7 linked regions of the Xenopus tropicalis genome follow. The protein of the gene in region 1 interacts with the protein of each later gene in a pairwise test. Links are inferred from orthologs where the notes say so. Each region holds a gene or a part of one and is shown in the gene's direction. Other genes may lie near its edges.

The links.
Region 2: the proteins of lzts2 (region 1) and nek6 interact in binary tests that used the Homo sapiens proteins (3 or more experiments, as listed by UniProt). The two-hybrid records come from large-scale screens. The link is inferred for Xenopus tropicalis from reciprocal best matches to the Homo sapiens genes LZTS2 and NEK6.
Region 3: the proteins of lzts2 (region 1) and mab21l3 interact in binary tests that used the Homo sapiens proteins (3 or more experiments, as listed by UniProt). The two-hybrid records come from large-scale screens. The link is inferred for Xenopus tropicalis from reciprocal best matches to the Homo sapiens genes LZTS2 and MAB21L3.
Region 4: the proteins of lzts2 (region 1) and atpaf2 interact in binary tests that used the Homo sapiens proteins (3 or more experiments, as listed by UniProt). The two-hybrid records come from large-scale screens. The link is inferred for Xenopus tropicalis from reciprocal best matches to the Homo sapiens genes LZTS2 and ATPAF2.
Region 5: the proteins of lzts2 (region 1) and hoxb9 interact in binary tests that used the Homo sapiens proteins (3 or more experiments, as listed by UniProt). The two-hybrid records come from large-scale screens. The link is inferred for Xenopus tropicalis from reciprocal best matches to the Homo sapiens genes LZTS2 and HOXB9.
Region 6: the proteins of lzts2 (region 1) and rin1 interact in binary tests that used the Homo sapiens proteins (3 or more experiments, as listed by UniProt). The two-hybrid records come from large-scale screens. The link is inferred for Xenopus tropicalis from reciprocal best matches to the Homo sapiens genes LZTS2 and RIN1.
Region 7: the proteins of lzts2 (region 1) and poldip3 interact in a two-hybrid assay, tested with the Homo sapiens proteins (2 studies listed by BioGRID). The two-hybrid records come from large-scale screens. The link is inferred for Xenopus tropicalis from reciprocal best matches to the Homo sapiens genes LZTS2 and POLDIP3.

What each region holds. Positions count from the first base shown.
Region 1 is NC_030683.2:29,793,038-29,796,537, forward strand, and holds part of lzts2 (leucine zipper putative tumor suppressor 2 homolog), read left to right. Parts: intron 1-2,307; coding exon 2,308-3,012; 3' UTR 3,013-3,500. UniProt on the Homo sapiens protein: Negative regulator of katanin-mediated microtubule severing and release from the centrosome. Required for central spindle formation and the completion of cytokinesis.
Region 2 is NC_030684.2:29,167,123-29,170,622, reverse strand, and holds part of nek6 (serine/threonine-protein kinase Nek6), read left to right. Parts: intron 1-372; coding exon 373-486; intron 487-3,500. UniProt on the Homo sapiens protein: Protein kinase which plays an important role in mitotic cell cycle progression. Required for chromosome segregation at metaphase-anaphase transition, robust mitotic spindle formation and cytokinesis.
Region 3 is NC_030678.2:1,122,862-1,126,972, reverse strand, and holds the start of mab21l3 (protein mab-21-like 3), read left to right. Parts: upstream 1-1,311; 5' UTR 1,312-1,486; intron 1,487-2,386; 5' UTR 2,387-2,425; coding exon 2,426-2,473; intron 2,474-4,111.
Region 4 is NC_030685.2:15,293,304-15,297,361, forward strand, and holds the start of atpaf2 (ATP synthase mitochondrial F1 complex assembly factor 2 precursor), read left to right. Parts: upstream 1-1,258; 5' UTR 1,259-1,442; coding exon 1,443-1,539; intron 1,540-2,608; coding exon 2,609-2,653; intron 2,654-3,622; coding exon 3,623-3,768; intron 3,769-3,841; coding exon 3,842-3,939; intron 3,940-4,058. Other genes in the region: gid4 (glucose-induced degradation protein 4 homolog), read right to left, coding at 757-933. UniProt on the Homo sapiens protein: Plays a role in the assembly of the F1 component of the mitochondrial ATP synthase (ATPase).
Region 5 is NC_030686.2:12,098,380-12,102,557, reverse strand, and holds the start of hoxb9 (homeobox protein Hox-B9), read left to right. Parts: upstream 1-1,378; 5' UTR 1,379-1,488; coding exon 1,489-1,996; intron 1,997-4,178. UniProt on the Homo sapiens protein: Sequence-specific transcription factor which is part of a developmental regulatory system that provides cells with specific positional identities on the anterior-posterior axis.
Region 6 is NC_030680.2:38,263,206-38,267,396, forward strand, and holds the start of rin1 (ras and Rab interactor 1), read left to right. Parts: upstream 1-1,391; 5' UTR 1,392-1,768; coding exon 1,769-1,910; intron 1,911-4,191. UniProt on the Homo sapiens protein: Ras effector protein, which may serve as an inhibitory modulator of neuronal plasticity in aversive memory formation. Can affect Ras signaling at different levels. First, by competing with RAF1 protein for binding to activated Ras.
Region 7 is NC_030680.2:115,098,187-115,102,413, reverse strand, and holds the end of poldip3 (polymerase delta-interacting protein 3), read left to right. Parts: intron 1-1,287; coding exon 1,288-1,354; intron 1,355-2,143; coding exon 2,144-2,330; 3' UTR 2,331-3,727; downstream 3,728-4,227. UniProt on the Homo sapiens protein: Is involved in regulation of translation. Is preferentially associated with CBC-bound spliced mRNA-protein complexes during the pioneer round of mRNA translation. Contributes to enhanced translational efficiency of spliced over nonspliced mRNAs.

The sequences.
Region 1 (3,500 bases):
ATGTGGACTCTCTGTTCTGTATAACATAGTTCTCTCACGGGCCAGTTATTTTTAAAGGGAAACTACACTACTACAATGTTGCTTGCACCATCAGAGGAAAGTTCATCTGCAGCTTTTTTTGTAGTCATCAGGGCAGATGTTCCCAGGTATAGTGCTTTGCACACAAATCAACAAGGAATGACGCAATAGTCCTGCCACCACGTGCTGCCCGCTGAAAGTGCATCGGGCGATTCCCGAGGTGTTAAACCCGGTAGTCTCTCTTGCTGACCTTTGGGTGGAGCTGTCGGGCAGTAAAGCTTAAGTCTCATCAGAACTTAGCTACTCATCTGCTGTATCTGCTGCAGGTACAAAAGCTGGGCCCAGTTACCAAATTACCCAGCCATCTTTCATTTAATTGCAGTTAGAGGCATTCAACCTATGGCTAATAGTGATAAGGCGCCTAATGATTTGTTTAAGCATTTTCTTACTTGAGTTGTTAGTAAAGTTTATTCTGGGGAAAAGCTAAAACTACTTTCTTTCTGATGGTATTTTGGACATAATGTCACCCTAACCTACATCTGGAGAATCCTTATTGTCTGCATAGTCCCATCAGCAACATGTTCTATATATAGGTCAGGCTGCCTTATTTACAACTATATGTGTTTCCAAAGAGCAGAGATTTCCTTTAGCAGGAAATTCAGTAAACTAAATTTTATAGAATTGAATCTGTAGAACTCTTTTACTTATGCGTTTCCCACAAACCAATGCAATTACTGCCATTTCATTCTTTGTTTTATTGCAAAACCCCAAAGCTCTTTACTGGCACTTCCACTTGTTATGGCCTCTAAGGAGCGCAAATGCATGGACCTAAATAGCTGCTTGATAATCAGTCTTGTCATATAAAAGACACATCGATATCAAAGAAAATATCATGGGGAGGGAGAGCTGAATGGCATATTTCAAGGTTAAAAGAAGGCCTGTTTCACTGTGCACACGTCTATTTAAGGCTGTTTATCTTATTTATACATAAATACAATATGAATATGAGATCTAATTTAATATAAAATGAATGAGATCTAATATCCAGAAACCCATTATCCAGAAAGGACCTAAACAGTACTGCCATCTTCCAATGTTCCATGGAGCAGTTTAAGGGAAATATGCATATATATCCTAATGGTTCCATTTTTTCCTCTGTAATAGGAATGATGGTAACTAAGCTACCATAAAAATATATATTGGTGGCAAAGTAACTCTTTTGGTTTTTTACATTTTTATACTTCTAGATATGGTATCTATTAGCTGGAGTGCTCAGAACCTGGGGTTTCCGGATAAGGGGTTTTATTGAAATTTAGATCAACATACCTTGAGTCTTCTAAAACCATGAAATTAACCCAATAGGATTGTTTTGCCACCAATATGGACCCATGCAGCTTAGTTACCATGAAATGTGAATAAATGTTTACATTGGACTGTATGGGGGACGGCTTTTCTGTAATTCAGGGCTTTCTGGATATTGGGTTGGTTTCTGGATAAGAGATCTCATACCTGTAATGTATAAATATAAAGGACTCTGTCCTATCATTCACCTTAATGTATTTCTGTGAACATATAGTGTCCATCATAATTAGCATTCAAGCGGTTTCTCTCCGTATTTATCCACTGCTTTTGGTCCCCTTAGGACTAGTCTGAACCACATTTTAGGAAATTATAGCCTAATTGATGTTTCTAGTGAATGGATTACCTTAAAAAAGCACCCAGTGCCAGAGGCATTAATACAGTAACATTCATTCACTGTAAGCACTGACACAGTAACACTAAAAAATACGTTTTTGTAATGAAAATATAATGTAGTTTTGCCCTGCACTCGTAACAGTGGTGTGTTTGAAACCCTACTATAGTTTATATGGAGAAAAGGAGATAACCAACAGGCTCTGTAGTATACACTTTAATTATACTACTGTTATCTGCTGTGTATCCTGTATCTGAATGGCTGCCCCCATTGCTTACACAGCAACTGTGTAGTAATAACACCCCTGTTATACATTATATTAGCATTCCTAGTGCAACCAACTGCTCAATCCAGGACCCACAGTTCTAGTCAGTTGTGTCTGGCATGAACACGTTTTAGGGAGACAGAGCTCAATAATAAAACAGCACCAGAGTATTAAAGTAGAACGTTGGACATTTGCAGCAGGTTCCGATACCGAGAGTAACCAATCAGATTGCTTTCACTGGTGATTAGAAGATGCTGCTTTGGTTGATAACAGGCTACTAAAACTTTTCCCAACTTTGCAGCTATTAACAGTTCCTATGTAATTCTCGTAGGTTTGCCAGAAATCTGGTGAAATATCATTGCTGAAGCAACAGTTGAAGGACTCCCAGGCTGAGCTGGCACAGAAATCTAATGAGATACTGCTGCTTCGGGCTCAGGTGCGAGAGGCTCGATCCGACCTCCAGATCAGTGAAGAGCAGGTACAGGAGCTGCAGGACACGGCGCACACCAAGACACTGGAGCTGGAGGTGTGCGAGAATGAACTCCAACGCAAAAAGAATGAGGCAGAGTTGTTGCGGGAGAAAGCCAGCAAGTTAGACCAGGAAGTAGCCGGCCTAAGGGAAGCAGCAGTAGCCAACCTGCGCCATGGACTATGCCTTTGCCATGAAAAGGAGGACCCTTTCTTATTATATGAAAGTGACGAGGCCAAAGCGCAGCGGCAGAACGCAGACAACCTGCAGGGCTTGCAGCAGTATGTGGAGCGTCTCAGGGAAGCCCTAACAAGCGAACGCAGGAGATATCAGGAGCAAGCTGACAGCTTTGAAGATGAGCGGCGAATATGGCAAGAGGAAAAAGAGAAGGTGATCCGTTATCAAAAACAGCTGCAGCATAACTATATCCAGATGTACCAGCAGAACCGCGAGCTGGAGAGGGACATTAAGCAGCTCTCCTTAGAACTGGAGGCAAGAGAACTGGACGAGTTTGACTTGCACGGGGCCGAAATCCAGTTTGAGGAAATCACAGCTACAGAAATCTGAAGCCAGTGAATATGCAGAGCTACCACAAATGCCTTTATACACGCCGACAACATTCCAGCCAATGGCTTTGCCAAAACACAGCTACTAAACACTCACACAAGCTCTTCTTCATTGTCACTCAGACTTACAGTGGATAAACCATACTCAGTGTTTTGACAGGGAACCATAGGTTTATGGACTGCACATTAACACTACATGCAACGAGATTTCTAATTGGCAGATCTTGAACACTCATACAAAGTATAGTATTAAGGAGCCATATGTATATATATATATATATACTGTATACCTGCTCACAAGTTATACTATATGGACCAAAGGAACTTGTGTCATTGAATAAGAAATGTATGATACTATGTACAGCACTTATGTATGTGTTTGCATAAAAACCTGCTCCCTTGTCATGGCGTGTAACAGAATTTGAGGTACTGTCATGGAGCACAAAGGTGCCATTATGTTAAGTCTGTTCAGTACTTTTCAGTATTCCT
Region 2 (3,500 bases), on another chromosome or scaffold:
CAGGTCTAGTAACCCATGGCGACCAACAGATTTGTTGCCATAGGTTACTACACCAGGAGCAATCATACCTCCTTAGCCTTTGGCACAAAGTCTTTTCAGTCTGCTTTATTGGCTAGGAGCTCACAATCAACATTCGGGAAGCATTGGCTGTGGTTCATTTGGCAAGTGATCCACTGATGTCAATATCCTTGCCCAGTAAAACCACTTCATATTTGAACACCCCAGTTCTCTTGTAGGTTTGCTCATATGATATGCTCCTCTTGAATCCCAGACCATAGAGTGTTTGTGTTTGGTTCAAGGGGACAAGTCAGTATCCCTACCCATTATATTTAACTGATGCTAAGAACATTGATATATTTGCATTCTTTGCAGATGGCAGCTTTACAGAGTCCTTTCTATGGAGACAAAATGAGCTTGTTTTCCCTGTGTCAGAAGATTGAGCAGTGCGACTACCCCCCTCTGCCCAAAGAACACTACTCGGAGAAGGTAAGCGCTCAGTATATGTATGTATATCTTTATTTATAAAGCGCTACTTATGTACGCAGTGCTGTACAGTAGAATACATTAATACAAACAGGGGGTTATTAAGATAATAATAGATAAATACAAAGTATAACAATAAATACAAGGTACAGTTGCAATAAGTTGAGTCAAAAAGACACAATAAGGATGGAGGTCCCTGCCCCGTAGAACTTACAATCTAGATCTATATGGCTATATATATATATATATATATATATATATATATATATATATATATATATATATATATAGCAAACACTTATTTACTTTATACTTATTCCAGAATCTCTAGTAACCCTATTGATGCAGCATTTAGATTAGCAGCAGTGATTTGCGGCCCAGATGTGGAATGTCCCCATACAGCGGCTGCAGTATTCCGCGGGCCGGCACACAGACTCTGGGCATAATCCTGCCAATAGGAAGCTGCCGCTGCCGTTTGTGTATTTCACGCTCCTGTAGCACACGGCTCGGCGTTTGCCTGCTGGTGGGAGGAATTAGTGTAAGCTGACAGATGTGTTTCCTGTCGGTACAATTAGTGTCTGTCCACCTCCCTCTGGCAGTGCTAAAGAGCACATGTACGTACAGTGATACAATTCAGGGTGCGAAGGAGAGTTTAAGGCTCCAAAGCACCAGCTCGGGCAGAGCCAGGCGCCAGATGGTGTGCATACACTATTAGCCGAGTGCTAGAATGGGAGCGCGCGGGGCAAGCCCTTTGGCTCTGGTGTATCTGTCTGTACAGGCTGCTTCTGCCAGCTCAAATAGTACATTGTCTGTTCTTAGACACTGGCTGCAGAGTACCATCATCTCTGCTTTATACAAGGTGGAGCCTAATACAGATACTCAGTGTCGGACTGGGATGCCAGGGGCCCACCAGAAACCTTAGACTGTGGGCCCACTCTCCAAACTAATTTTCATCCACTCCTCACTCAACATTTATATTTTCCTAGTCTTTTATCTTTACATACAATAATCTATTTTTCTTTATTTTTAGTCTCTTTGTTCCCATAGAGAAATATTGAATGACCATAAATTAGACCAAATGGTAAGAGGCAAGAGGGCCTACTGACACCTGGGCCCACCAGGAGTTTCCCTGGTATCCCTGTGGGCCAGTCCAACACTGCATGAACTCCTTTCATTCAGCAGCAGGCCCAGACTGGCAATCTGTGGGTTCTGACAAATGCCAGAGGGGCTGCTGTAAGAAGCCACAGACAGTCACTGTTTATTGGGCTGCTGGGGGGCCTCTTTGGGCCTCTGTGTACTTGCAATACCAGGGCTTAATTTGAATCACAACCTGTTCAGGTAGGCAGTTGCTGGGGCACTATGCAGACCAAGTCAGCAGCGTATTAGCCTATCTATGGGCCCCTTATGATGGTCTACCTGACCAATTCTTTTTAAATATCTATTATACAGGTTAGAAAACAAATAAGGACAGTCTCTTTAGTGGCACAACGGTGGTTAAATCAAGCAAAATCCACTCGCTTGCTGAACTTGGCAGACAATCGGATCTTGCCATGAGTGCCCACCTTAACTGTTACATGAGACAGAAATAGACCATCCTCCAGGTTGTTCTTTTAAGCCAATTTGTGCTGCTTGTGCTTCATGGTAAGACTTGGTAAGGGGATAGGAAGTGTCCCAAATATAAAGCTGGCCATACAATACTGATAATATTGATACGTGTGGGTACCCGGCTCAAGGGCCCACCACCCAGTCACCGCCATTCCCCACATGCCCCCAGTAACCACTGTTCTTGCTCCACTGCACTATTTTGCTGATAAAAATGAAAGATGGGCGTGCATTCCACTGTGGAATGCACAGCCATCTTTAATTTTTACAGCAAATAAAGTAGTGGAGCAGGCAGTGGTATTGGCTAGGGGAAGCTAGCAGGGCACTGCAGTTTTTCCTGGTATATGAATAGGCCAGTTTGACCCTGTGTACCAGCCTGCCAGTCCCAATTGCCAGTAGCTGCCAGTGTGCCATATCTGCCAGTGTATGATGCATGGCCAGATGAGATGGGTATGAATGGGAACAATAGAAAGGTGGCTATGCAGCATTTGACACAGGAATGGCTGCTTTAAGGTACAAGCATGTATTTTTTAAAGATATTATTAATGTTAATTATGTTGTTAGACCCTCCATTACTGGCTTTGGTATTGGGGCCACTCCATCAACCCAGCATTTTCCCCCACATACAACACACCAGTAATTGCACGACAGTTAATAAACCAGCCAGTTGTGCGATTAGTTAGACACCATGTTCATAGCAACATTATCCCTATGCTGGCCCATGCAGGTTCCAGTAATGGCTTGGAGCCACTCAGCCCATCCAGCTCAGCCCTTAGCCCATCCAGCACAGACTAACAACTGCCTGCGTGGCCTTTGGCCAGCCAAGGTTTCTGTTTCTGTCAAAAGATGAATCAATATTGGAATCAATTATCAAGTTACTGGCAGTGTCAGCTCAGCAGCCAAGGCAGGTTTTGTAAGGGACTCGAGGGATACGGGGACACATTATGCGCCTATTCTTTCCCTTCCTCCCGCGCACCACAAATGCCTCGCCATTGATCATGTTTGCTTGTTGTGTTCTTCTTTTCTCCCTGCTGAATGTCCCCCTGGGAGTGCAGAGCTGAAGCTCGGTGTCTTACTGATCAGCTCGGTAATTCCCCCGGGCCTTGATCTTGTGTAACCCAATAAAGATCCAGACTAACATTGCTCTTTCACTCCTCGCTCACTGCACCGCTAATTCTGTTTCACGGGCGCTGATCGGCTTCATTATGTGTGATAAAATATTAAATGCTTCCCCTGTTTTAAACCAGTGTAGCAACTTGAAAATTGCTTTTCTAGCTGCAAAACAATCAATTCCCTATTATTGGGCTTCTATCTGCAGCCGAGCAATTAAATCATAAGGATTCCAGTGATTCTGGGGGGTTGGGGGAGAAGGATCAGAACAGCTTTTCCAGCGGCTTTTTGGGAAGTGTATTTTA
Region 3 (4,111 bases), on another chromosome or scaffold:
GCTGGGGCCCCCCTGTATGTGCCCGGCCAATGGGCCTCCTCTTCCCTGGTTGGGCCCTAATACCCACGGGGCCCCGGTACCGAGGGTCAGTAAGTACCAGTTGGGCCGGTCAGTACCGCGCTGCCGCACACACGCTGATGTACAGAAGCTCAGGCACAACAGGGTGGGGCAATAAAGCAAAAGCCCCGGGGGGGGGGGGGTAGTTGTGTCAGGTACAAACAGAAGCTGAGTGGAATCAATTAGACTCACCTGCTCCCAAACCCACGGGGGGGGGGGGGGGGGGTAAATAATAACCCCTATTGGTACTGAGGGTATTGGGGGCCCAGTGGGGCGCTGAGAAACACCTCAATACCCCGACTTATCCCCAACTTCTAGGGGCCCCTGTCTGTCTGTCTCTCTGTGTCTGTCCCTGTCTGTCTCTCTATGTCTGTCCCTGTCTGTCTGTCTCTCTGTGTCTGTCCCTGTCTGTCTCTCTATGTCTGTCCCTGTCTGTCTGTCTCTCTGTGTCTGTCCCTGTCTGTCTCTCTATGTCTGTCCCTGTCTCTCTGTGTCTGTCCCTGTCTGTCTCTCTATGTCTGTCCCTGTCTGTCTGTCTCTCTGTGTCTGTCCCTGTCTGTCTCTCTATGTCTGTCCCTGTCTGTCTGTCTCTCTGTGTCTGTCCCTGTCTGTCTCTCTATGTCTGTCCCTGTGAGACTGTCTCTCTGTGTCTGTCCCTGTCTGTCTCTCTATGTCTGTCCCTGTGAGACTGTCTCTCTGTGTCTGTCCCTGTCTGTCCCTGACAAGTCTGTCTCTCTGTGTCTGTCCCTGTGAGACTGTCTCTCTGTGTCTGTCCCTGTCTGTCTCTCTATGTCTGTCCCTGTGAGACTGTCTCTCTGTGTCTGTCCCTGTCTGTCTCTCTATGTCTGTCCCTGTGAGACTGTCTCTCTGTGTCTGTCCCTGTCTGTCCCTGACAAGTCTGTCTCTCTGTGTCTGTCCCTGTGAGACTGTCTCTCTGTGTCTGTCCCTGTCTGTCTCTCTATGTCTGTCCCTGTGAGACTGTCTCTCTGTGTCTGTCCCTGTGAGACTGTCTCTCTGTGTCTGTCCATGTCTGTCTCTCTATGTCTGTCCCTGACAAGTCTGTCTCTCTGTGTCTGTCCCTGTGAGACTGTCTCTGTGTCTGTCCCTGTGAGACTGTCCCTGTCAGACTGTCTCTGTGAGACTGTTGTTCTGTGTGTTTAGTGGAAACACAGCTCAATACAGCAGATTGATTGGCGGTTGGGGCAGGATTGGGTTGGGGGGGGGGCAGGATTGGGTTGGTTGGGGGGGGGGGGGGCCCTGCTGCCAATCAGCCGCTCAGACAATCCAATTGTTCTCTGTTTACAGTAAAGTTTGGAGCAGAGAATAAATCAGCTCTGGGGCAGAACCAGCGCCCGGACTCACCGGCTCCAGCGAGAGAGAGAGGGACCTCCTGCCCCACAGCACCCAGGGGCCCCGGGGCCACTCACAGGTCAGACACCGACTGGCACCTAGTGGGCACAGCAGCCTGAGTGGGAGGGCAGGCTGAGTGTGAGTGCAGGGAGGGCAGCCTGAGTGTGAGTGCAGAGGAGAGAGGGCAGGCTGAGTGAGTGCAGGCTGAGTGTGAGTGCAGGGAGGGCAGGCTGAGTGTGAGTGCAGGGAGGGCAGGCTGAGTGTGAGTAGAGAGGAAAGAGGGCAGGCTGAGTGTGAGTAGAGAGGAAAGAGGGCAGGCTGAGTGTGAGTGCAGGAAGGGCAGGGTGAGTGTGAGTAGAGAGGAAAGAGGGCAGGCTGAGTGTGAGTGCAGAGGAAAGAGGGCAGGCTGAGTGTGAGTAAAGAGGGCAGGCTGAGTGTGAGTAGAGAGGAAAGAGGGCAGGCTGAGTGTGAGTAGAGAGGAAAGAGGGCAGGCTGAGTGTGAGTAGAGAGGAAAGAGAGCAGGCTGAGTGTGAGTGTGAGTGGAGAGGAAAGAGGGCAGGCTGAGTGTGAGTAAAGAGGGCAGGCTGAGTGTGAGTAAAGAGGGCAGGCTGAGTGTGAGTAAAGAGGGCAGGCTGAGTGTGAGTAGAGAGGAAAGAGGGCAGGCTGAGTGTGAGTAAAGAGGGCAGGCTGAGTGTGAGTAGAGAGGAAAGAGGGCAGGCTGAGTGTGAGTGTGAGTGCAGACAGCACTAAGTGGCCCCCAGGCTGCAGGGCGGTATAAGGGGGACAAGCTAATAGAAGACTCATTACAGACAGGGCTGAGTCACATGACTGAATGGAAGCAGAGAGGCTCATGGGTACCAAGGGAAGTGAGTGATAACTTGGGGTGTCAGTGTTGTACGGGGGGGGGTTTATCCAATAGGGGGTGGGGGGTACCGCAGGGGTGTGGCTTATGGATTTATTGGGGCTGCTGTATTTGCAGACTGGGGACACAGTCACATTTGGGGGCTCACCGGGGAAGATGAAGGGAGTAACGGCTGAGGATGTGCATCACTTCCTGCTCCACACGGTAACACTTCCCCCCCATCTCTATCTGCCCCCTGTATCTGCCCCACATCAGCTTCACTGGCACCGCCCCCTGCTGGTCACTTGTCTCACAGCTTGTGGCCCTTCCTGCCCATTGGATCAGATATTGATTCCCTGAATACTGTGCCCCAATGGCGTGTAGCCTCAATGGGGCCCCTGGAATTACACCCAACTTGCCTGCAGGGCCCCCTAGTGGCCACACAGGGAGTGGCATCCAATTCATCAAAACAGGCTAAAGGGGGGGGCACTTACACCCCAAGTATGTGTGGGGGCCCCTCAGTGCACTTCTGTTACTAAATGGCCCTTTATGGCTCTCTTATTATTTAGGGCCCCAGTCGGGGCTTTATTGCCCGATCCTGCTGTATTGCCCCATACTTGCCAGCAGGGGGTGGTAGTTAGTAGGCAGAAAGCCTGGAGCAACCTTACTCCCCCCCTCCCATTACCATGGGAAACTGCCCCAGGAGCCAAGTTCTCAGCCCCATGCTGGGGGGGAGTGGGGGAGCATGGTACCCCAATATTGGAGACCCCCCATAACCCTTTAACCTTTCCCTCTGCTTAATGCACTGATTTGGGCCCAGAGCTGCAGGAAGGGGCAATAAATGGACAGAACTAGGGCTGAAAGGAGGGGGCAGGGGTAGTTCCTTATTTACCCCCCCTAAACCCAAGAGATAGATTAAAGGGAAAGTTCAGCTTAGATGAAGTTGCCTCTGGTTCCTTACTTGCCCCACTCTGCCTGCCTCCAACTGCGCCCCCTGCAGGAGCACCCCTAGTTCCCAGGCCCCATGCTGTGCTTAATAGCCCCCTGCTTGGTGCCCCCCTAACCCCGCTGCTTGCCCCGGCAGGAGCACCCCTAGTTCCCAGGCCCCATGCTGTGCTTAATAGCCCCCTGCTTGGTGCCCCCCTAACCCCGCTGCTTGCCCCGGCAGGAGCACCCCTAGTTCCCAGGCCCCATGCTGTGCTTAATAGCCCCCTGCTTGGTGCCCCCCTAACCCCGCCGCTTGCCCCTGGCAGGAGCACCCCTAGTTCCCAGGCCCCATGCTGTGCTTAATAGCCCCCAGCTTGGTGCCCCCCTAACCCCGCCGCTTGCCCCCGGCAGGAGCACCCCTAGTTCCCAGGCCCCATGCTGTGCTTAATAGCCCCCTGCTTGGTGCCCCCCTAACCCCGCTGCTTGCCCCGGCAGGAGCACCCCTAGTTCCTGGGCCCCATGCTGTGCTTAATAGCCCCCTGCTTGGTGCCCCCCTCACCCCGCTGCTTGCCCCGGCAGGAGCACCCCTAGTTCCTGGGCCCCATGCTGTGCTTAATAGCCCCATGCTTGGTGCCCCCCTAACCCCGCTGCTTGCCCCGGCAGGAGCACCCCTAGTTCCCAGGCCCCATGCTGTGCTTAATAGCCCCCTGCTTGGTGCCCCCCTAACCCCGCTGCTTGCCCCGGCAGGAGCACCCCTAGTTCCTGGGCCCCATGCTGTGCTTAATAGCCCCCTGCTTGGTGCCCAACTCACCCCGCTGCTTGCCCCGGCAGGAGCACCCCTAGTTCCTGGGCCCCATGCTGTGCTTAATAGCCCCCTGCTTGGTGCCCCCCTAACCCCGCTGCTTGCCCCGGCAGGAGCACCCCTAGTTCCTGGGC
Region 4 (4,058 bases), on another chromosome or scaffold:
ACTATTACTGGCGCTCACTGTACAAGGGGGAGACTATTGCTGGCGCTCACTGTACAAGGGGGAGACTATTGTTGGCGCTCACTGTACAAGGGGGAGACTATTGTTGGCGCTCACTGTACAAGGGGGAGACTATTGTTGGCGCTCACTGTACAAGGGGGAGACTATTGTTGGCGCTCACTGTACAAGGGGGAGACTATTGTTGGCGCTCACTGTACAAGGGGGAGACTATTGTTGGCGCTCACTGTACAAGGGGGAGACTATTGTTGGCGCTCACTGTACAAGGGGGAGACTATTGTTGGCGCTCACTGTACAAGGGGGAGACTATTGTTGGCGCTCACTTACCCAGCAGCCCTGGCTTCTCTGCTCTCAGTCCCAACATGATTCACAGCAGAACCCTATGACTCTCCTACCCCCTCCCTCCCTCCCTGCCATAACTCACCCCCCTACCTCCCAAGCCAGGGCCCCAGTGCCTACATGTCCTGCTCCGGCCACCCTTCCCTGGCTAGGGGTCCCTCCCATAACCCTTCCTACCCCACTCCCATTGCCCCTCTATTCCCATCATTCTACCCTATCCCTGCTCCTCTCTTGCCCCTTCACCTGCTCTCCCCCAATAAACCTCTTGTTAAACAACCCCCCCCCCCCCCCAGCCCCTCTACCCAGGATTCCCTGCCGCACATCCCCCCCCTGTGCCCACACACACACACACACACACACACACACACTAGCCAGGCTGCAGTCGGCCCCGCCGGGCCTCACCTGAAGCACAACTTCCACATCGTACGAGTTGCCTTTGCTCTTCTGGTGGCCCCGGAACTTGGAGCCGCTGTAGAGGAGGGTGGTGGCCACGCCGGGCTGCTGGGTGTTGATGGGAGGAGGAGGAATAAGAGAGGAGTATCCGGAGGCCGCGCTGTTGGCCTCGGTACGGACCGGCATATCCAGGGCCGAGCCCCTCTCCCGCTGAGGCGGCTCCACACTAGGGCTCGGCCACTTCTCCACTCCCGGCCCGAGCACCTGGGCCTCTCCAGCACCGCGCAGTCCGATTGGCTGAACGAAAGGCCGCCCACCGCGCAGCACCGCCCCCAATTGGCTAAAGCGGTGACTCGGCGCCGCCGGGAAATGTAGTCTAGCTAAAACTGACCAATGGAGACCAAGAAGGGCTCGGATTGGCTGCTTGCCGGACGTGACGACAAAGAACAAGTCAGGGTCACCAAGATGGCTGCGCCCGGGTGAGCAGGCTTTCTGTACATAGGGGCTGGGACTGGCAGCGTGTTCTCTCTGGGTGTAATGAGCGCTGAGCCTTGTGGGAAGCCTTGGGGAGAGACCATTTCACAGCGGCAGAGGGGTGGTCGCTAATAAATATCTACTGATAATCCTTTGCCCCTCGGCAGGTGCTGATGGGAGAGAGTCCTGAGCAGAACCACTGACCCCTCCCTTACTATACCATGCTGCCCAGTCTGCTAGCGATCACTGCCCGGAGGCTGCGTGTATTCCCGGCGGCACTTTGCGCTCAGACGCGTCTCTATGCAGCCGCTGCTACCGGTAAGTGGCACCAGGGAGTGGAAAGGGAGAAAAGGGGATTTGCCAGTGCATTATACTCCTGTAAATATAAAAGCAATATGTCATTAAGGGATATATATATATCATGCTGTGTAAAAAGTGGAGTAAAACATCACCGGTGATGTTGTTTATAGCAGCCAATCAGATGCTTTGGTTTTCTAACTGTTGAAATGTAATTGCTGATTGGTTCCCCAGGGCAACATCACTGGTAATGTTTCACTCCACTTTTTACACAGCATGATAAATATACCCCTAAATATTCCATTTTCTGCTCATTTAAACCCTACTAGTCCCGCCCATGGGTTCCACTTCCAGCCCTACAGGGAACAGTAGCAGATCTAGTATAAACGGAGAGCTGTGATTGGCTGCCTGCCTCCTACTGAGCTTTTGGCAGAGACCATTAGGGCATGGCATTATGGGGGCCCATCAGACACATGGCGACACAAGGATGAGAACTGATTGAATGGGAAAGTGTCTTGGTGGGGGGTAGAAATCCTGCTGAAGAAAGGGGGCATTTTTAAAGCTAACAATAATCCCCCCCCCCCCATTTTTTTAAATTCCACCTCTCCAGTCTATACCATTCCTTTAGCTCTAATGTTACCTATTCCCCCAATTCAGTGTAGCTCCTTCCAAATGTCCTTCTCCAGAGCCCCCACTTATGCTGGACTTTTGTGCCTTCTCTCTTACTGCCCCCTCCGTGTTACTGCCCCCTCCGTGTTACTGCCCCCTCCGTGTTACTGCCCCCTCCGTGTTACTGCCCCCTCCGTGTTACTGCCCCCTCCGTGTTACTGCCCCCTCCGTGTTACTGCCCCCTCCGTGTTACTGCCCCCTCCGTGTTACTGCCCCCTCCGTGTTACTGCCCCCTTGGCCAGCTGCCACATCCGCACCCATTCTCTGCCCTTTAGCAGTGCAGTTGCCCTGAGGGGAAATGTATTACTGCTTGGATAGTGTGGGTATGAACCCAGTAGAATTCTGCATTTGGTACTGAGGCATCAGTCCAATGTCTTACTCTATTATTTATTGATTCAATTATTTTTTTTTTATGTTGCAGAAAGAAAGAAGTTCTATGAAAATGTCAGTATTTCCCATGGAGAAGGTAGGTTTCACACAGTCCTTTCCAGAGCTGCGCGTGTGGCTTTATCTGTATCTTTAAAGCACCCTGTGCGGGTGCTTGTACCCTCCTACAACTGACGCAGATGGCGACACATTCGGCAAACCTTATCCCAGGCTGGTGTTTATTTCACAGTTTTTTAAGTTACCTAAAACATAGCACTATAGCAACCACCATACAGGCCCGGACTGGCAATCTGTGGGTTCCGGCAAATGCCAGAGGGGCTGCTGTGAGATGCCATAGACCAGCGTTTTTCAACCACTGTTCCGCGGCACACTAGTGTGCCGCGAGATGTTGCCTGGTGTGCCGTAGGCAGGGCACCAATGTACTAGGGGGGCACTGCTCTTGGCACCAATGTACTAGGGGGGCACTGCTCTTGGCACCAATGTACTAGGGGGGCACTGCTGCTGGGCACCAATGTACTAGGGGGGCACTGCTGCTGGGCACCAATGTACTAGGGGGGCACTGCTGCTGGGCACCAATGTACTAGGGGGGCACTGCTGCTGGGCACAGAGTTAAATTTTTTAACATTTTCTAATGGTGGTGTGCCTCGTGATTTTTTTCATGAAACAAGTGTGCCTTTGCCCAAAAAAGGTTGAAAAACACTGCCATAGACAGTCACTATTTATTGGGCTGATGGGGGGCCTCTGTGTACTGGAAATACTAGTACCAGTCCAGACCTGCCTCCATACACCAGCATTGGTATAAGCAATATTGGTCAGAAGCAGTGACCCGGTGGCTGCACTTTCCTTCCTGCTTCCCATGCAGCCAGCCATTGGGCCCAATGAACAGATAAGTGCAGTTTGGCCACCCCTGTGTCTAAATAGAAGGGCATTTTGCCCTTGGGTCCGGCCGCATATAAGATGCCTATTCTGACCCCTTTCTTTTTGTAAATAGAAGGTTGAAATCTATAACCTTTAGCTTGTAAATGCAGCTACTGTCTCTTCCCTCCAGGGGGGTTTGAAATTAACCTGGATCGACGGAAGCTCAGGACGCCACAGGGGAAAATATTTACCGCTCCGAGTGAGGCTTTGGCCGTAGCTGTAGCTACAGAGTGGGACTGCCAGCGAGATGTGATCAAGTTCTACACCATGCACCTGGTAAGGATGCCCTTAAACCCCCACCTCTGCCAGCTTGTATTCATCCGCTAACTGTATTGCCTTCTCCCTGCAGACCACACTGTGCAACACGGCCTTGGATAACCCCACGCTAAGAAACAAGGAGCAGCTTATTACGGCAGCTCTGAAGTTTTTGGAGACTGACACAGTCTGGTGAGTGCCATGTATCCAGTTACTTGATCCATAAGCCTCCATTAGGATTAGATTCAATATCCGCTACTTACCTTATCCCCTGGGCTCTTCTGTAGTGACTTAACAAAGAGCCAGCAAAT
Region 5 (4,178 bases), on another chromosome or scaffold:
AATACAATATAAGCTTGTAATTATGGACAAAATGTTTGCCCCATGTTATGGTTGGTAAGCTGTTATATAAATGGAAAGTAACCATGGGGTCACAGAGTCACTTATCTTGGATAAAGCTGCACCATATAAAATGCCTGTGAGTTATAAATATTTGGTCACAATATGGGACAGTGTGTAGGCACCATCTTATATTTGTATCTTTGGCAGAGAGAAATGATATAGTGGGGTCACAGTGTCAGTAGCGCAGTACAGAATGGCAACACCTGGCAGTATATAAGCTGTAGGCATTTGGCATAATATGTGACTGTAAAAATATATTTATTGGATGAGAGGCAGGGCATAAGTAGTTATACAGAAAGCAAATGGGATCATAGTGTCAGTAGTGCAGTGTAGGATATAAATATGGCAAATTACTACTTATATATCTGATTATATTATGGGCCAGTCTGTAGGCCTCAGCCACCACTTTAAATCAGTGCTGCACAGGGTACAGGCAATTGTATAAAGTTAAAATAAACAAGCAGACATAGTGCTAGTAGTGCAGAACATACATATACATGCTGCAGGGCTGGGCACTGTACAATGGTCTGTAACTGGTGACAATTTGTGGTTACCATTTCATACTAGTGCAGAGAAATAAACCAGGGTCATAGGGACACTAGCACTTTGGCACAATGTGAGTAAATAGTGTTACTGGGTAGGGGAAGGGCAGTTAAATAAAATTAGTGTAAGGTATCAATCAGCAGTGCCTCCTAGGAAATGATTGGCACCATATACATTTTGCAATATCTGCCATTATATGGGGACATTGCCTGGGAAATACGGTGTATTCATATGAATAGAAACACAATTCCAGATACAGGGGGCATAAAATATCCACATCCAATATCCACCTAATTGGTGTCTGTTATTTTGCATATAGTCAGTGTAGGGAAAGGGGCCACTAACTATAAATATACTGTTTATAATCCGTACTGTACAAGCCAGACTGTACGCAGCCGCCATGCTATGGCAGCGAGAGGCACCGTTCTGCTAAATTGCGCACTGATTTGCGCACACGGCCAATTGCGCACAGCTGAATGAGAGACTGCTGCGCCCTCCCAAGCTGTTGCACCCAGACCCCCCTGTGCCAGATTGTCTTGTGGCTTCACTAAAAGGCACCAGAGCCTGCACAGAAATAGGTGTCACCCAAGTTTCAAATTGTTGGCTGAGGAGTGCGTTGTTGGTCGGATCTCAGGCGTGTCCCAGCCCTCATGCCCATAAAACAATGGCTCCCAGATATGAATGCTGACAGCTCCGTGCGGCCCCTCCGATTGATGAATAGCCCTCTGACGCTTTATCAGGCACACGGAGAAAGTTTGACCAATCATTTGCCAGGAGCTCACACGCCAGCAGCCCAAGTGCACCGAGTTGGCGAGCAAGTTGGGAGAGGGGAGAGCTCCTATATCTTGTTCCCTTCAATGAAGCTGCTGAGTAGGATGCCCGAGAATGGCCATTTCTGGGACTCTCAGTAATTATTTTGTGGAGTCAATAATAAGCCCTGAGAGTGAGGAGGCTCCAGCAGCCAAATTCTCTGGACAGTACCCCAGCCCCCGGCCAGCAGCCCATTCAGCTCACTCTGAGCCCTTGGACTTTCCCTCCTGTAGTTTCCAGCCCAAAGCTCCTGTATTCAGCGCGTCCTGGAGCCCTCTGAACCCCCACCCAGCCAGCCCCCTGCCTTCTGTCTACCACCCCTACATCCAGCAGGGCGCCCCCACTCCGGAGGGCAGGTACTTACGGGGCTGGCTGGAGCCGCTGCAAAGAGCAGAGAATGGACCTGGCCAAGGAACTGTGAAGTCTGAGCCGCTGCTGGGGCCCCCGGGGGAGCTGGACAAACTGGGAGCCCAACAGTACAATCTGGGCTCGCCTGCTGCAAGAGAAGATGCCAATGAAAGGGCCACTTTCCCGGACAATAAACTGTGTGAAGGAAGCGGGGACAAAGACAGGACACATCAAAGTAAGTTCTGCACCGAGGAAGTGGGAGACAAAAGCCTAAGGGGGCAATAAAAGGGCAATATACCGTCAGGAAGTGTATGTGCTCCTGGCCAGCAGGGCAAACACAGGGGAGAGCCCCCCAGGCACCGGCAATAGCCTGAAATCTTTCCACCTTGTAGTCACCCAGCCGCACAGGTAGTTAAACAAGCCACAGTATCCATCACAGTAGCCAGGAACATTTATATTTGTAATCAAATCCCTCCTCAATATTTATATCTCAAACAAAGTTCAGCCACAATATTTCCACCCTCAGCCACAATAACTTGGATCCAAATCAGCCATAATATTTGGAATTAGCCCCAAGATATACCCCCCAAGGCAACCCCTGTATTTACACCATATCCCCCCAATTAAACAGGCCACACGGTAAACTAACACTTTCCTTATATCGAATAAAACTCCCCCCAATTATATATATACATTTCAGCCAGAGCAGTGCGACTTTATTGCAATATTACTAGACTCAAATCAGCCCCAGTGTTTATACATTACCGACAAATCAGCCACAGGATTTATATTTTAAACCATAAGGCCCCATGTTATTGGCAGAGGTGAAATACTTATATTTATATCTACACGAAATATTCAGCTAGGAAAATCCTTGGCTAAATATTACAAATCCCCGACGATAATAACACGGATAACTTAGCAGCACAAGGAACCACAATCTGTAAAATATACAGGAGGGGGGAATATCCAGGCACAGTTAATATTTGTAGCAGAAACGTTCCCAGAATCTAAATTTTCTTACCAAATTACCCATAAGATCGGGGATTTACAACAAGCCTGCCCCAGCCATTATATTTCACAGCCTTACGAAAATATTATATTAATATCGCCGGCGATTTATATATTTAACCACTGGAAGAAGACGGGAAAAAAAGAGCTTCCAATATTTAATATACCGTATTAAAGGTACATAATTCATAATATATATGCCCTACAGCAAAGTATCTGGCAGGCAGCATAAAATAGTTTGTAAATGCAAAATGATCACCTCTTGTATTAGTGCAATTCCGCCGTGCGATCTGTTTGGACGATTGTACAGCCATTTATCTGGTCGGCACAGGTGAAAATGATTCATAAAGGCAACCGATCCCATTTGCAAAATCACCACTCTTACGAGGTGGATGTGTTTATGGCACCTAGTACCTTTTTATATTTCCCACTTAATATTAAGCAATTGCAGATGTAATGATCGGTTTAAAAGCATTTTACCTTGATAAATGAGGGTATTATGCATGGGAGTTAAACTGCACTTTAAAAACCATATTCCACTAAACTGGGCACGGATCCAGAACAAACTCCACAATAAAAGCCTTGGATGGAGAGAGTGGGATTTGCAGCTTGTGGATTTAATATCCGTGCAGGCTGACAAAACGCTGTGAAGAATTGCGCGTAAACGTTTACGCAACGGTCCAACCAAAGGAATTGGGGAGATCGCAGGCGATTTTAGCAAAGATTGTTGTGCTGAGGGTCAAAGGGAAAGGCCAGTGTACCCCCCAATGTGATATACTGCCTATTATTTCAGGGTGATTGATCAGAATCCAGCTTTAAAAAGTGCCTGTTTTATTTCCAGATAATAGTAATATGGAGCGGAATATCACTTCAGTAGTGAGAATTTTTTTTTATTATTATTATTTTATTATTATTATTAATACTAATAGGGATAAATAAATGATATTTTCTGGAATCCACCCCTCACACACTCATACACACAGGCAGCAATGCTGATCAGTAGTCGTGTTCGCTTTATTAAATATTAACTTTTTAATTCACTTTCATATTTCATTCCCATGCAAATGATTTAGAGACTGAGCAGAAAAAGAGACACCAGAGTTAACACAGGGGGGACTGAACCCTTACAATCCGCCAGGCAGGGCCAGACAGTCAGCCAGGAATATCATGTATATTTTATTACATTAATTTGTATGCGATCAGGGGCTGGAATCGTGTGTGTGGCTTGTAATTCCTACTCTACCATTTCCATCGGGGTTCAGGAACGGAGGCGATATTAAGGCTAATAATTATTGTCCTACTTGAAAAACTCTGCCTTTGTTAAGCTGCAATGGGACTGCTGTATGCACAGGACATAAAGCTTATTCCTATTAGCGGAGCTGAGCCATGCCATAAGCACATCCAGG
Region 6 (4,191 bases), on another chromosome or scaffold:
TGCTTTTTTGCTCCATATTTTGGAGCTTTCTAGAGACCAAGTTTCTGGATAATAGATTCCAAAGGTAAGCATACAGCATGACTTAAGTGGCCATACACGTTAAGATCTTTCTCCCAGGGGGATATCAGGCTAATTTGATTGGTTGGCCCTATCAAATTACAATAACGGGTATAGGAGCCGTTGGTGCAAGGACTGCATTAATGAGCCAATGCGGTTCCCGATCTGATGGGAAAATCAAGCCTGCCCAATTGAATCCTGGCCAATTTTTCCCCAATTTTTCATGGTAGTCAAGGTTTTTAGATTTTTTGAACGCTCTATTTATTAAAAAACACCAAAAAATGTGTTTTTCGCATTTTTCTGTGTTTTTTGTTTGTGCTTTTTCAATTTGGATCTTTTAATAAATGACTAGACATTTGTAGTTTTAGTGGAAATTAGTTTATTTGTGTTTACAAAAAACTCAAAAGCCATAGATCTATCATCCATCTACCTGAAAAGCCCACAGTGCCAGCAGGGAGCATGGCACTAGCTGCAAAAGAAATGCTGTAAGGAGAAAGCAGGTCAGCACTCAGGTCTTATGAAGAACAAAATGGCACTTTATTTCAAGGAAACTAATGTTTTGGCTAGTGAGCTAGCTCCTTAAATAAAGTGCCATTTTGTTCTTCTTAAGACCTGTGAGTGCAGATATGTATATATGAGGATATGTTCCTCTATGGTTCATGAACATTATCAGAAAGTATAGTAGGTGATACCTTTTATTGGTTAATTTGGTAGGTAATAATAACATTGGTTATCATACCTGAAGCAGGGACCTAAGTTGTCCAGAAAGCTCACATTTCATAATCCACTAAATTAGCCAATACGAGGTATGACCTACTCTATATTTTCTGGTTTTGATTTATGGCTAACATGGTAGAACACTCTGCTACTATGGGTATAAACATTCTTTGAGCACAGCTGACAGTATTATCTATAAAGAACATAAGGTATTGCCCACAGCAGCAGTGCTGTCATCTCTGTGTGCAGCTGGCTGCCTGTTTTATGGAGTAGTTAAGAAGAATCCTCTTTATGATCCTGCTGGCTATATGTGATGTGCCCAGGCGTGCAGGCCAGGCGCACCTTCATTACGTCACTACAGGATTTGTTTAATCAGTAGTTATAGGAAAGGAATGTGATATCTCCAGGAGGCGAGAGCAGGTTGTGGGTGGTGAAAAAAGTACAGCCGTTAATTCCATAATTTATTTGGGTGCACTGGGGCAGGAAGTTTTAACACAGTATGAGATACCATGGAATAATACATGCTTTCCATGCTGGGATTCATATCCTTTCTCTGCGACTTACTAGGAGCTATATTTGCATTGCACAACATTTTAATCATAACATGTTAAATATCCATTTTGTCCTCTGACCCATTTACTGTAGAAATCCCTCCTTTATCTTCTCACTCCAGTCCTTTACAATCATTCCCGGATTTCACTCTTACTCATACTATGAAAATGCAGCTCCTTCCACTAAACTCATTCTTCTCCAATTCATTTCCTTTCCTTTTGTAGCTCAGAGTCTTTTTGCACTCTTTCTCTTTAAAATTTCTCCTTTGTCTCTCTCTTATGCACTCCCTCATTCTCTCTCTCCCTCACTCTCTTTCTTCCCCGCTAATGAAATGAATCTCTAAAGCTGCTTTGATTTAACAAGTCTCTGCAAAGCAGTCATGTGGGGAAGAAGAACAGTGAAAGAAAAACTGTAAGAGGGAGAAAAGGAGGGAGGAGAGTGCATGGAAATCATGAGTGAGCAAGGAGCCGCGTGTATACCTTGCAACACCCTAAGGGTTAGTCACCCTGGGAACACCCATGGGGGTGGGAAAAAGAGCAAGAAGGAGAATCTGGACTCACTGTCCCAGGCCGGAGCAAGGCAAGGTATGTACAACATAAAAGCTTAGACTTCTTTTGGATAAAAGAAAGCTTCTTTAGTTATTCTTAAGATTGTACATTCCTTTGAATGCCAGGTGATAAGCAGCAAATGCCCAGGAAAAGACACTTAAAGAAATACTTTTATAGTACTGAGGCTGTTTATATATTATATATATATATATATATACCAAGGATGAGTGAAAATAATTGCTGATAGGGAGCATAAAAATAGTTAATATACACTGGCATGTTTCACTTACGAAGTGGCAGATGTAAGTTGCAGGCTTCTGACATAAATAGTAGAAACAGATATACACTAAAAGCAATGTTGTCTGCAAAGCTTGCACTCTGTATAAATCTCATTTACACTACAGAACTTGCAGTATTGACATCATAAAGAGGGAAACTGAACCAGAGTTCCCAATTTTTAAGCTGTTTTATAAGTTTATATTCACTTCATTTTTAAATAAATATTTATTTACAATGAGATGTTTCTCTACATAACAGGGCTCATTTACTAATCACATGGGCACAATGTGTGGAATTTCAGTGCAATCTGCAATCTGCGCCTTGTACCAGACTAAAAGTCCTGGGCATGATGCAGAACGCTCCTGGTCCCTGATGGCTCTCCCTAGTTAGCCTGTCATTCAGATGCACAAGCTAAGCAATATCAAAGGAGATGCCCACCACTTGTCCCCTTATGAATTCAGTGCTGCTAAATTTAGGCAGCTTTGTACTCGGAGAAGTGAACACAGGATCTCAAGAGCTGTACCTTTGGGCACAATCCAAATTGGAAAGAACCAAAACATGGAACTTCCACATTTACATTTTGCATCTTGCCTTGTGTATAGGAAATGAGGACTAAGGACTCTATATGAGTCATTACAAATGCAGGTAAGGTGCTTTCAAGCTTGCTCCTTGCACTCGCATATAGTTGCATTAAGCGACATTAGGGCTCATTTTTGTTTGTGCAGTGGGCAACTTGTGCTTTTCTCTGCCATCAGTTAAACCTAAAACCACTTTTATTAAAGGTATTTGCATCAAGTAACTTCTCTATAGTTCCTTCAGTCCTTCCTGCCTTCCATTCAGAAACAGGCTGTGCTGCACTTGTTGATACAGGGGAACCCTGACCAGGGGGTAGCTCCAGGGTTCCCTCAGTCAGGGGCGCTGCTACCAGCAGCTATGGCAAGTGCCCCCATAGTTACCAGGGGCAGCAAAAAGTTGCTCCTAGTAACTTTAAGAGCCAAATTTCTATTTTTTTAAAACGGAAATTCGGCTCTTCTAGTGTAGAGAGCGCAATTGCACTCCCCCCCTGGACCCCCTTCAGTGCTGTAAAGCTAAGTGATGGGGGGCGGCATCGGAGGGGCCGCCTCAGGGGCCGAAAATGTCCCTGCCCTCAGCGCCCTGTATAAATAGGCGCAGCACACTTGCACCTAAAGTACTGGTCACTGGAAATGATGCCGGGCAGACTTAGAAAATATTTGCCACAACAACAACCGATTTGCAATGAAGTGCATGCATCTTATTGAATCGCTATAGCAACTGTGGTGGGCACAGCCCAATTGTGTCAAAAGAACAGCCAGTTTGTGCCTGCAATGATGCCAGAATTATGCCAAAAAAAAGCATTGTGGGAAAAACATGGTAATTGTACTTGATATTGCACTTTGTACACTGCATCTAAGTAAGTGAATGTGCTCTTTTGTGTCCACCCTGCCTCTCTTACTGAATTATGCACATTTGTAGTGGTAAATCTAGTGGGGTGCATTGGTTGGGGTAGAAGAATTGCTCCAAAAAATCACACAATAATTCTGTTTTAACCCCATGTCCCAGAAGTGCCAGAATCTCTGCTTTGAAAATGCTAGCATCTGATTTGCTAACATGCACATGTGCAGTTTTGATTAATTGGGTACAATTGTGCTAGAGCACTGCATTTAGAAATTACTCTGCTATCGGTCATTCAGAAACAGCACTCTCTATTGGGCAAATTATTAAGTACTACTAAGATACTGGAGAAAACAAAGCAATAAGGAAATACTTATGCTAGGTCTTAAAGTTATACTGACACCAGAAATTAACCTTTTTTATACATCTATCATAATATTGTCTTTGCATGCTATTTATAATTTTGCCTTAAAAGTATTTGCCTGATGTTTTTACATTACCTATCTGATGCCCCTCGTTCTTCTATGAGAGGGAGGCCATATTTGTGCAGCAGGGGTCCGTTAGCATTAGAAGTTGTAACTGACTGGATGAGAAGAGACAGTCAGGTTGGCAAAACAGTCAAGTT
Region 7 (4,227 bases), on another chromosome or scaffold:
TAAAATAATGTATACTGAAAACATAACCTATTAGATATATTTTGTGTGTTAGTTCTGAAAGCTTATATCTAAATAAGATGTGAGTTAATTAGTGAGAAAGTGACTGCACTTAATTACGTACCTGCGTTAATTAGCTTCAATGTTCTCCCAGCCTAGCCCATATTTGTTAAGATGCCCTGTCCTGCTCCTGAGAGAGCGACCTTTTGTATGGTATATAACTTAATCCACACCTTTATATGCTTATGGATTGTGAGGAAATAATCCACAGACGCAAGAAAATAACCTGGTTATTACTCCAGTTTCTCTATATCCGATTGGCCATTTGAAATGGGTTAATATTGTGCACATTATAGGACGGTTGTTTTGTATACGTAGATATTGGTTGCTAATTAAATGTAATAGTAAATGCATTAATAAGGGATATTTTTTATGCATTTAAATGCTAAATTTGCTAAGTTATTAATAAAATGTAGTGAACACAGGTGTTATGTATTCATAAGGAGTGGTTGCTAAGTTATTGTAACAGTTCATGCATTAATACATGATATTTATTCATAAGTTTAATTTTTAAAGTTGCTAAGGTATTAATATATGGTGAAAACTAGTGAAATTGAGCCCTTGGTTGGCATATCTTATTCTTCACTTCTTTTTTTTTATATACACTATTTATTCTTTTATGTATTTATTAACAAATTAATTCGGTTATTAGTATATGGGCTATAGCTGCATCGAGCAACCGGTATTTTTAATAGGAACTTGGAGATTCTTATTTCCAAATAAAGAATGCTTATTTATGGTTTTACATTTATACTGATATTTTTTGTATATGCTAAAACAGGGCACTCTCTCATTACTAGTTGATTTTATTGTACATACACAGAGATAATGTAGAGATTGTAGCAGCCCTAGGTTTTATAAGTATTTAAAATTAATAAGTAATACTATTAGAAATTGATCAGCTATATAAGGTAACTATTATAAAGGTCAAGATTTACAGACTGAACACTTATTTATTTCTGCCTGCACCCATATTGCCTGCCTTAATAGACAATAACACTTTTTACAGAATTGCCGGGACAGTGTGCTTCAGAAGTGCACAAACCTACCAGCTTCTGTAAAAAGGTATATTAGCTGAGTGTAGTTGGAAGAAGGCTTTAAGGAGCATAGTTAATTTTCATTTTCCCCCACCCAGCTACCTTTTCATGACACACTGCTGTAATATTTTTCTGGTAAGAGCACTGAGCTTTCTTTTTTTTCCCTGAGCTAATAAATGTCTTTTCATTTTAGGGCAACCCATGAAGTGTAATCTTCATCTGAATGGCAGTGTCATAACATCAGACCAACCTATCTTACTGTAAGTATAATTTCACCGAGAGGGTGATTTATCAGTAATCTTGTTTGCCTTTAATGCTAATCTGATGCACGGTATTGGTGATAATTGTCCCCTCCATAAGGTATAGTGATCCAAATTATGGGAACACCAACATTGCTCTAGACCTTTTACCTTGGTATGCATTATAAGTAGGGATGCACTGAATCACGGCTTTTTTTTAAGGATTCCGTTTCGGCGGAATCTGCGGTCCTTGCCGAACTGAATCCTATATGCTAATTACAATTTGGTAAGGGTTAAATGGGCAGTGAAAAAAAAATCCTCCGATCCCTCAGCATATGCTAATTAGGATTCGGCCAAATCCTTCTGGGTGGGTTCAGCCCCCCAGAAGTTACAAGTAGTCCTTACCAAAGGTTTGTACCTTCAAGGGGTGTCTGAACTGAAAAAGTCCAACAACCACATCTCCAGGCGAATCTGCCTGCAATAATGTGCCCAAAGGTTGCTCTACAGCAGTGATCGCCTACCAGTGGCACCCCCTTTGATGTAATTCCTAGTGACCCTACTTTAATGTAGTTCCTAGTGACTCTACTTTGATGTAGTTCCTAGTGGCTTCAGTTAAAGTTTAAGAATTGTTCCAGGGTCTGTACAAATGTTACTACAAGGCACTCTCACTAGCAAATATACAGAGTATTTACAGAGTTATTAAAAGAATTCAGAGTGAGCTTTCAGGAATGTGAAACAAATATATCCTCAGGGTTCTATGAATGGCGCCGGTCTATTTCATTATTTTTCTTAATGCCATTTTTCCCTTAGGCGACTCAGCGACACACCATCTGCAACAAAAAAAGAAGGGGAGACTCGAAGATCAAACACATTATCTTCATCCAGTGCATCCAACCCACCTGCTGAAGTGGACCCTGACACCATCCTCAAAGCCTTGTTTAAATCTTCGGGCTCTTCGGCAGTTGTTCAGCCAACTGCGTTTAAGATCAAACTCTGATGCGGCCAGTATGAACTAAAGTGGAGGAGTTCTGGAGTGAATCACAAAGATGACTCTCAGAGTGACCAATGTTATGATTCACCTAGAGAGACTAGACTTTTGTTTCAGAGAAAATTTGTTAGAACCGCTCATCAGTGGATTAGTTCTTGTTGGCCAAGAGTGAGGGATAATTGGACTTTTGGCTGTATAACTGAACACCCTACCCTTTGCGACTGTAGCATTACAGTTTCACTTTTCTTTATGTTAAGATGTTCCTGCAGCGCACATGCTGGTTCCTCTCCCAGGATCAAGTACATGTACATACAGTTTCCTGCCATGCTGTTTAATGTTCTGTTTCCAATATCATTGTTTATACTTACTTTTTTTGTGTTTTATTTTTTTGCTCTGGAATAAATAACGGTCATTAAATGTGCAGCCCCCAAAAACACTAGTCATCTTTGATGACTAAAAGAATCCTGCACCTTAACAGATGCTCACATTATTGATTAATTTGTAGGGATGCACCAAATCCACTATTTTGGGATTTGGCTGAATGCTGTACTGAATCCGAATTCTAATTTGCATGTGCAAACTAAGGCAGGGAAGCTTAAAAAAAAAAACTGGGCGTGCAGTATGCGGAAAAAAACCTTCCAATTTCCGCATTTATTTGGTGAAAAGACGCATCATTTTAAGGATTCTGTCCAGCCAGGACAATGGATTCAGCCGAATCCTGCTGAAAAAGCCTGAATCCCAAAGCAAATTCTGGATTCGGTGCATCCCTATTGATTTGCCACTGTTCATTTTCTGACGTGACATCCAGATGAGTAGAAAAAGAATGTCCTTGAATTTGACATCCATGTTCTTTAGATACATTAGGTTAATTATTAGTCATAATTGGATGTGGAATCTCTGAAATATTATCCAGCTGAAAAGTTTTGAACCTATTTACACGTGGTTATAATAGCAATATTTGGTGAATATAAAATCAGTACAGACTTCCAAATCAACATTAATGTAAACTAACAGGCTTTATTTTTCATAGTAAACCATAGATTTGTTTTAGATATATCTGGCTACTGGCATTTTTGTTCCACTGCCTTGCTATTCAGGGTTGGATTATAATGGCATAGCCAGTGCAGTTGCTTAAAAACAGTTTCACATGCATGCAGCTTAAGTGCAGCACGCAGCTATTGTAAAAAAAAAAAAAAAAGAAATACCATTTTCATTATGTAAAAACTGCAATGAAATGTCTTTTGGGTGCAAATTTAATCAGACCGTCTTTACCCACATTTACTTTCAAGGACATTGAGAAATTGGCTCTCTGTCAGTGACTTTCTTTACTGGTTAATTGTTAACGTTGTATTTCATACTAAGGCAGTACTCAAAATTTTCATGGCAATAAAAGGCTTTGATTAATATTAGGAGAATTAAATAATTGTTAAAAAAAGGTAACATTAGCCATCATCATAATTCGCAGTTGGATAGGCCTGCCCCAGCCGCCCGTTATTGTTTCATTTATTTATTTTATAACATTCAGCCCTCTCTCTGCATCTAATTGTTTTGTGACGGGGCCCTGAATGTCAAGTTCTGTGGGGAGCCCTAAGAGGCCCTAACAGTCTCTTTCTAGGTTTGTTTTCTCAGTTTCTATATGCAAATCAAAGAAAAAGTTATGTTCACTGCAACACAACAAAGTGAAAATCCAATTATTAGATTTCCTTTATGTAAATATATAGATATTGAGCTGTGTAGGCCTCTAAATGTCAATTTTAATAGGTTGTTCACCTATAAATTAACTTTGATGTTTGAAATTCCAGCAGCTATTGGGTTGCTAGAGTTCAGTTAACCATAGCAACCAGGCAGTGGTATGAATGCGAGACTGGAAGATGAATAGAAAGGTGATACAAATTAACATAAAAAA